Linked DNA regions of Bombyx mori. The protein of the gene in region 1 interacts with the protein of each later gene in a pairwise test. Links are inferred from orthologs where the notes say so. Each region holds a gene or a part of one and is shown in the gene's direction. Other genes may lie near its edges.

The links.
Region 2: the proteins of protein deltex (region 1) and beta-arrestin-1-like interact in a two-hybrid assay, tested with the Drosophila melanogaster proteins (2 studies listed by BioGRID). The link is inferred for Bombyx mori from reciprocal best matches to the Drosophila melanogaster genes dx and krz.

The regions. Positions count from the first base shown.
Region 1 is NC_085114.1:16,022,222-16,026,836, reverse strand, and holds the start of protein deltex, read left to right. Parts: upstream 1-1,671; 5' UTR 1,672-1,860; exon of another isoform or gene 1,861-2,149; intron 2,150-2,973; 5' UTR 2,974-2,990; coding exon 2,991-3,189; intron 3,190-4,280; coding exon 4,281-4,423; intron 4,424-4,615. Other genes in the region: uncharacterized protein LOC101741377, read right to left, coding at 215-273, 1,254-1,277, 1,311-1,344.
Region 2 is NC_085111.1:15,956,836-15,961,323, reverse strand, and holds the start of beta-arrestin-1-like, read left to right. Parts: upstream 1-1,435; 5' UTR 1,436-1,876; intron 1,877-2,037; exon of another isoform or gene 2,038-2,098; intron 2,099-4,488.

The DNA.
Region 1 (4,615 bases):
CAAACTTTCATTATTCTTTCCTGCTTCTTGTCAAGACTTTTTCATTTTTTCATTGATAGTTATTTCATTATGAAAGTAACTATAAGGTAAGGTAATAATACTCTGGTGGTGTCCTAGACAATACTATAGCTTCTAACATAGCTCTTATTTTGCACCGTAAGCAATAACATAAATTATGAGATCTAATATTCTGAGTCATATTTTCTAGATTTACCTCATCAGATACTGCAGAATCCATCTCGAGGTTGAAATGATTGGCGGCCCGACCCTTGTCTGTAGAAATAAATAGAAAATTCAACACATTTTTTAAGGATATATAAATAGGTAATTTTACACTGTAGTTCTTAGTTTTTGTGTTTTTTTAACATTTATAATCAATTCTTAAAATTAATTGTGTAGACTTTTTCACATTATGTAATGTATTCCTATTCCTTGTCATATCACTCTTGTCAGAGCAGTTGTGATAGTCATTCAGTATCATTGCTGTGAGCAGATGTTATGCACCTCATGAGCAATCCCCACTTCTCCTGGTTTGTGATGAGCCTGGTGCTCATGTAAACAACACATTTTTTGACATATCTCCAGGCAAGTAACACCTATATTATTATATTATATTATTATACATTGTTAATAATATGACTTTTCCAACAAACATAATGTCAACAATGGTATTCATAATTTTATATCACTCAGTTTGAACAATCCATTTAATGACCAGATTTAATATTTGTACAACATTTTGTTGTCCTATTATACAACATTTTGCAAATCAGTGTTACTTAAAAGAAATGAAAAGCATCAAGTGTGACAAGTAGACCTTAAGATCATTATATTTCTCATTTTTCATTTTATAGTGGTCCATTGTTAGTTTGGATGATCATCAAAGTAATTTACAGACAAGAGATTTGATCACTATTTGGTAACCTCTAAGCAGCTCACTCGAATGGAATCAATCATAAGTTTCGAGCGGTTTCATAAAGCTTCGGAAGCTCGTCTCACGCCACTCGTTCTGGTCATAAATATCGCATTAATTCGCGTTGGACACTAATGTACAAAGGACCAGTAAATTATCGATGAGTAAATGATTAATTAGAAAGTTAAGTTCACGTAAATTACTCAATGTAATGAGATAAAGTATGTTGTTATCATAATGTCATTTTGTCAATTGTAATTTCGTCTTAATAGCTGTGTACGATTTAAAATGAAATGTGTTATTCATACTGTCAACAAAAATATCTGATCTACCTACTTACGTTGTAAAAACGCCATAACGAGATATCATAGACCTATTAGGTTTCCTACTTCATTGCGAGATATGTGTGATTTTTTTTCAATAGTATGCATGTATCAATGTTTGTGTATCTGCAATTCGATGCAGGTACGAACGAACTTCGATGCAGGTACTTTTTAAAACATTAAAATGTGACTTGGATTCTGCAGATTCTGCACATATTTGATTAAAATTGATCGATGCTTTATTTTAATTTGGTGGTTCAATTAAAGATGCAAAAGAAACTTCGCTCATACGGTCAAGACTCTGGCTGTGACAACTTCAATTTACTATTTTCGTTTTCAGACTTTTTTCCCTACCTAAGCAATTAGGTATGAAAAAACCGTGGGCTTTCAACAGCTTTGGGTAGGCCAACGGGGCTCACCAATCGTCATAACGTTATTGGAATAGCCATAGGTTATTGGAATAGGGATAGGTTGAGCACACTCACGGGCTCGAGAGAATCTCGGACATTAACACTAACGCTAGCACGAATACTCCTTCGGCTTTTGAAATATACAAGACTGTCAAATCATTGACAGTATTCGACAGCGTCAGGGCTATGAAGCTATGTTGAAACTGGTACATAGGTACAGAATTGCAACGATTTTATTTAATCTTTAAAATTAGTGACTTAGAACAAAAATGTTACTTAATTCAGGAAATAGTACACTCAATTCAACATTTAGTATCACTTTAAAAGCAATTTTGATGTAAATGAATTTGGGTATGTTTGAGAAATATGAATAGAAAATGACCAGTAGCGATTGTGAAACAAACAAACAAATTGGTTTAGCATTCCTGTAGCTTTCTTCGTTATCTTAATTTTGAATTTATTGCTCTATTGAGATCATAATTTTCAAATGTGGAACTGGACCTGTAAGTATAAAATATTGTAATATTTTTCAGTAAGAAAGTGTATTAAATTGTTTATCAACATAATTTTAAAGCAAAATTTATTGGAATACAATAAATAATCCAACTGCATACATGAAGTCTTCGTCGCGTAATAAATGAACTGCCTAATGTATTTTTACACCAGTACCAATTATTATAAGGAAATACTTAATGCATGTTCACGAACAACTTCTTAATGAAGGAATATCATTCCAGAACTTTAACTTCTCTAGTAGTGTCTTCATATGCACTCATGGTATTAACATGCCATTTTGACTATTTTATTGTATCATTTAAAATATTTAAAAGACTATATGAGTCGTCTATTATCAAAGGCGGCAATCTGTACATTTGGACAAAAAATTTTTATTGATATGTCAATACAGATTTATTTGAATATAATCGTCTCCTTCAAAGAATACGGTTCAAAACCTGCATTAAATAAAGGTTAATAGTTAACCTGTTATTTATCTAAGATGTCGTTCCGAAGAGTTTTGTGACTGCCAATGGAATACAAAGTCAATAATTCGTTTTTCTGATTTACCAATCATTGTCCAAAAGTCAGATTGCCACCTTTGATAATAGTCGACTCATATAGTACATATGATACTGTTTCCTTCTTAGGTACGAAACTTGTTTGATCTAATGACAGTAATCAGCTAACTATATTCATAACTAATCAATATTTGTATGTTAAATTGTTAATTGATTGGAATGGGGTTTTTATATTTAACAATTATATTTAATTATATACATTGATTTTGCTTTTGGTTCAGTTTTATAAAATTATTTTTTTGGATTTCTAGTCAACATGGAATGAACAATGTCTTCAGTCCACTGCGTTGTAGTATGGGAGTGGCAGTCAAATGGTCAATGGTTACCACACACGCCAAGTGTTACAAGGACCCTAGAAAGGGCTCATGCTAAGAAGTTAACCAGGGTGGTATTGGCTGATGCTGATCCAGCATTGAAGGGATATTATGTTAACTTGCTGACCCTGACACAGAGTAATGAGACGCCTGGTAATTACACATTTACATAAACCTGAGTTCAATTGCTATTATATTATTTATTCCTTTACTGTGACTGACTCTGCTAAACACCCAAAACACTAATAACATAACATAATAACAGTACAATTAAACTTCTAGCCATGAGTACCGATTAATAACAAATTATTTATAGGAGTATGCCATGCATACACTTATACAGGTGCTATTAAGGTTATATTAAGCTGAAAATTTTAGTTAGCGTTCAATTAGAATAACCATTTTGATATAAAAATATGTTTTCAAGTAAATATTTTTGGAATAAAAAGCACTTAAACATTAAGAAAAAAGAAATTACCTGGAGACCCTTTAATTATATTTTAGAGAAGGGACTGTAATATGAATTCTATTAAATAATAAGGCTGATTACATATCAAAAGATGTGAATTTCTGTCAGAAGTAAACATATTAAAATATTTTTCTCTACCAAATAGGTACTGTCCTCGTGGTTTTTATTAGGCCCTATTTGATAAACAATCTGTATCTTCTAGGTCAAGGTCACTAACTTTTAATTTACAAATATTTATGCCTGTAAACCAAGATGTACTCATGAAATGCTAAAAATCTATTTAATTTAATAATTTCAACAACTTTCGAATGCTTTCAGAAGTTACAAGAAACATAGCATATGTGACACAAGCACACACTTCCGTCTGTCGTGGTACTTATTTATTTAGTAGAAATCAAACCCCAGTTGGAGTAGATACGTACATTGCGTCAAATGATAGTTAGGAAACAATAGTTGGTTGTTTTATTCAAGTTTTGATATCCATGATAACTACTTAACTACTAAACTACTTAAATTATTCAAAATGTTGAAAACAATAAAATTAAAATAATAAATGTGAGATTAAATCGTAAAAGTCATTTTTATAAGGTCTAGAACTTGTGAAAACTACCGGAACTTACTTACTACTACTTGTGTAAATGAAAAATTACCGGTCATTAAGGATTGTAGAAATTAGTCCAGTGATTGGGACTTAATTGGTCACTGAGCTATCCCAAATGACAACCTGAATAGCCCAATTTATAATTTGTATTTAAAGAAAACATTTTGATTATAGATGGTGGAATATTAGAGTGTGGTGTGCGTAGATCATGCTACAGTGTGCAGTCCGTAGCCGGACGGGGCTGGTGCTGGGAATGGGCTCGGTTTATGCCTCCTCCTGGCGCTGGAGAGCTACTCTATGACCCTCTGCCGCTTGATGTAAATATAAACAAATTTCCAATTATCTATTGATATAAAACAACAAAAACTAATTCAATTAATAATCCCTGAAGCGCTCACTAATTGGTAAGAAGAGTTCTTATTTCTTAGTTTAGTCGTTTGAGATAGCCAGCTCAGTGGGCTGTGTCTATGAATTATAATCTCTACCATCCTACAGAAAATGATAAGAAA
Region 2 (4,488 bases), on another chromosome or scaffold:
TCAAATAAACATTTAATTATCTTATTCAATATTATTTGCAATAGTACACGTCAGTTTATGTTGCTGTTAACTTTGTTTTGTACCATTTTGTCAACTGTACATTGACATTGACAGAATTATGTCAGTAGTGGTGTAGTTCCATTTTTCAAACAGAAAAGGCAACAGTATCAGACTATAGCCTGATCTTTTTATTTTTTATTATATGAGAATTGATATGAAACGAAACGAAGTGAAGTTGATTTATTTGAGACTGTAATAAATTGGGATGAAATTAAGTAAAACGAGATGCCCATCTTCTGTAATAAAGTCTTAGTAAAATGGTGATGATCTGCTAAGACTTCGGTAGACTTTTTCGAAGAACCTGAACAGCTATGTCAAAATTGACGAACGACTTCAAATTTCCAACATTTTGTCATTTTCACAGATGCTAAATAGTTAATATAATACAGTTACTACACATTAGAACCTGAAGAAACACCAAGTTAACAAAACCAAAAATTTTACACACGCTCCACGCATTCTCGCCAAAAAGTCTAACATTCTGTTTATACTCTCAGCAGGTAATTTAATTGGTTTATTAGACAAGCCAGCAAATCTGTTGTCAGAAAATGGCGAAGCTATAGGTTGTAGAATGGGAAATGAAATGAATCAGAATGAAATTATTTGAGATGAGATTAAGCAATATGGTAGTCGTTGAATGGGATAGCTTAGAAAGAAATAGCGTATCAGGAAAATTGGAGGAATCTACTAAGAGTTGGGTTTAAGAGAGAGAACCAGAGATGCTACATTTAATAATTAAGTTTGATTTACACATTTACAGATACTTAATAGTGAATACGCCGTGATTATTAGATGTTGGAACCTAGAAAAACACTATTTTAAAACAAGTCGTACAATTTGACACCTTGCCCTCCTACAAAAAAACTTAAACTTTTATTTCCTGCCTATTCTAGTAGCCTCGAGGAGTTATACTAGATTCTCCGAGCGAGTAAGAGAGCTTACGGGGTTCTAATCTGGTGAAGAGCTCCAGTGATCTGAGCGAAAACTCTCGAGAATTAATGTGAGCTCAGGTTTTATCACCAGGTGTTTCTGGGTTGATAGTAATAGTACTAGTAGGTTTATACAAAAAGCATGAAAGTTTCTCATAAAAATCACAGTACTTACTTAAAATACATTTTTTAAAAGACTGTTATCGTTCTGTTTTCATTGTGAATATCAGGAATATCACAAAGGCTGTATAGTCAATGCCAACCAAGCCACTGTCTATCAGTAACACATCTTGTTAACCAGTCTGTTAATTCATTTGAGTTGTGCGTATTTTCTCCTTTTTTAAAATTGGTTAGTCGATTTTTCATATCCTTTTAATATTACTAAAGCTGTTTCATTTTTCACTCGTTTAACACTTCAAAATTGGCATTGGCAACTTTAAAAGTTTGTCAGTCAGTCAGCTAGCTTTGGCCTAAAGGTCCAGATACCAGGCCATAAATTAAAAATAATAATAATATCAGTCAGCTAAATGTCGAAGTAAGTCTGCTTTGCGTTCGTGAATGTAGCCGAAAATGACACATTCCTGATGCTATATCAGTATATCTACTGTGATCAAACGAGCTATGCTTGCTCAAGTAATGTGATGTGTGACTGGATGGATATAGTGGTACTACGAAGTGGAAGGTAGTACACGAAGTAGCCTAATACAAATTTAATGCGTTTTACGTTCCACACCATGGTGTACCCAAGTTTTTGTTAGATGTATAAATACCAAAAAAAAGAAACAATATTTTCAGTGTCAGCGAGACTTATCAGTAAAATCTGCGTTTTTAGTGTGTGACGTAAAAGTTGTAGTAAAGCTTTGCTACGAGGAACTTTACTCTCAGATGTAAGTACCTGCTTGCGTACATTTGTTGTTAATTTTAATCCGCTTAGGTTCACGTGGTACTGGTTTTCGTGTTTGCATCGTTTAAAAAGTTTTATGTAATTTTAAAATAAATAAACGGTCGAATATTAAATTTACTTAGATTTGAACTATTGTTTAAATAGGTGAAGTTTGAAATATAACAATAATTGCAATCAATCACCTACCTGTTTCCAAAGAAGTCAAGTAAGTACGTCATATTTATCAAACTTAATTTTTTTTTATTGCCTTTGTAGGCAGATGAGCATACGGCCCACCTGATGGTAAGTGGTCACCGTCGCTCATGGACGTCAGCAATGCCAGGGGCAGAGCCAAGCCGCAGCCTACCATAAATAAATCTGTAGAGACCAAACATAAATCGAGTTGTATGATTTTATGAAATCAAAAATTTTACAAATATAAATTGAAGATTGAATAGATTCTAAATACAATTTTTTCAAACTACCTTCACACTTCCATCTTATTTTTAAACTGTTATCCCAGTTCCTGGCTAAAGTTAACTCCTCACATTAAGAAATATCCTATGATAATTCTCAAATATTCATATTGTATAATCATAAAATACTGCATTTTAAAAGACTAACATTGGCCCAAAAATAATACATGCATATTTGCATAGTGAAGCATATTTTGTATAATCTTTAAACACATTGACTCCACTTTATATAGTCAAATAAGGTCTCATGTCAGTCTCATAATTGACGGTGAATTTGTCGGTGAATGCAACATAGTTATAGAACTAAAGAAAATTCATAATTATCGAAAATACTTTATGGTTTAATTTTGTTACAAGTAACAAAAATTTAAATGCTGTTTTTTCCGGCAATCCTGAAGTCATGCATTTTTAAAATTCAAAATAAAGTGATACACTTTCATTAATTAGTTTAAGGTGGAAATAATTTGTGATGATTGTACATTTGTTAGCATAAACTATTACACATAAAATTAAAAAAGGATCTAAGGTACATATCAAGACTAAAAGCTAAAGCATTTTTTTTTCCTTTAGTCATGATTGCTTGTAGTAATTAATTATTTTTTGTTTTATTAAGTCAAGTGTTCAATACTGTAAACTGAACACAAAAATAATATATCCAAAGAAATAAGTAATAATAATAATAATGTATAATAATTCTTAATTAGTTGTGGCTCGGACTCAAATGAACGAAAAACACCAACTTTCCTTAATACAGCTTTGAGGCCTATAATTTGATGGTTGTAATGTAACAGAACCATGATACAGCTAATGGACAGTCTTGCAAATTGTCGCCTCCAAGCTGCGCCTATTTTATGTGTAATCTAATGAGTGTCATCCCAGCTTCTCCAGGAAAACAGCCAGCTGCGGTATGATGCCTGACGTGTGGCCCACGATCTTGAAGTGCATGCGAGCATCATTGTTTGTCGTTTGTTTCCCCTGTACAGAGGACTGTCTGTAAACAAAATCGTTATTAACCATTTCAGTTATAAATATTTTTCTGACAGATATGAGTAGAAGAATTATTATTTCAATAATATCTTAAAAAGCCGTCGTAGCTTCGGATTCGTCAATGTCGCGTAAATATCTTAAAAATCAATTTTAGTCGTCGTCGCCTAAAGGATAAGACGTCCGGTGCATTCGTATGTAGCGACACCAATGTACGATTCCCGCAGGCGGGTACCGATTTTTCTAATGAAATACGTACTTAACCAATGTTGACGATTGACTTCCACGGTGAAGGAATAACATCGTGTAATAAAAATCAAACCCGCAAAATTATAATTTGCGTAATTACTGGTGGTAAGACCTCTTGTGAGTCCGCACGGGTAGGTACCACCGCCCCGCCAATTTCTGCCGTGAAGCAGTAATGCGTTTCGGTTTGGAGGGTGGGGCAGCCGTTGTGACTATACTTGAGACCTTAGAACTTATATCTCAAGGTGGGTGGCGCATTTACGTCGTAGATGTCTATGGGCTCCAGTAACCACTTAACACCAAGTGGGCTGTGAGCTCGTCCACACATCTAAGCAATAAAAAAATAATGTTAAAATTTATTTTCTATTTTTTAGTTGAATTTTATATAAAGCGTACTTTTAAAACTATTAATAACATCAATTCCTGCCTTATCGACTATAGATAAAAATTATATAAATTGGCAAAAATCTTATTTTGCAAATTGAATAATGGAATAATCTTATCAAATTAGTGTATTGTCATCGGTCCTCGATAAATCTACAAAGTTTGAATGAAATCTGGCCGTTTAAAGTGGGTCAAAATCGCGTCTAAAAGAGTCAGTTACAAACAAACATACATACAAGTGAAGCTAATATAAAGTGTGTAAAAAAATACTGAAACAGTGTATCCGAGAGTATGCATCCTTAGTCACGTAATTGAAAAAGACGTGAGACTTATAATTCAAAGAGGTTTTCAATATGACCAGATCCTCGGAAAGTGACGTATGTGTGAGCTCTGAGTGCTCGTAAAACTTCGTAATGAAAATGACTGAATCGTTTGTACCTTAAGACGTCCGGCCGGTCAATTATCTGATCCGTGATTCACGAGCACCTATTTGATCGACCGTGAACACGTGTTCAAGTCGTTAGTC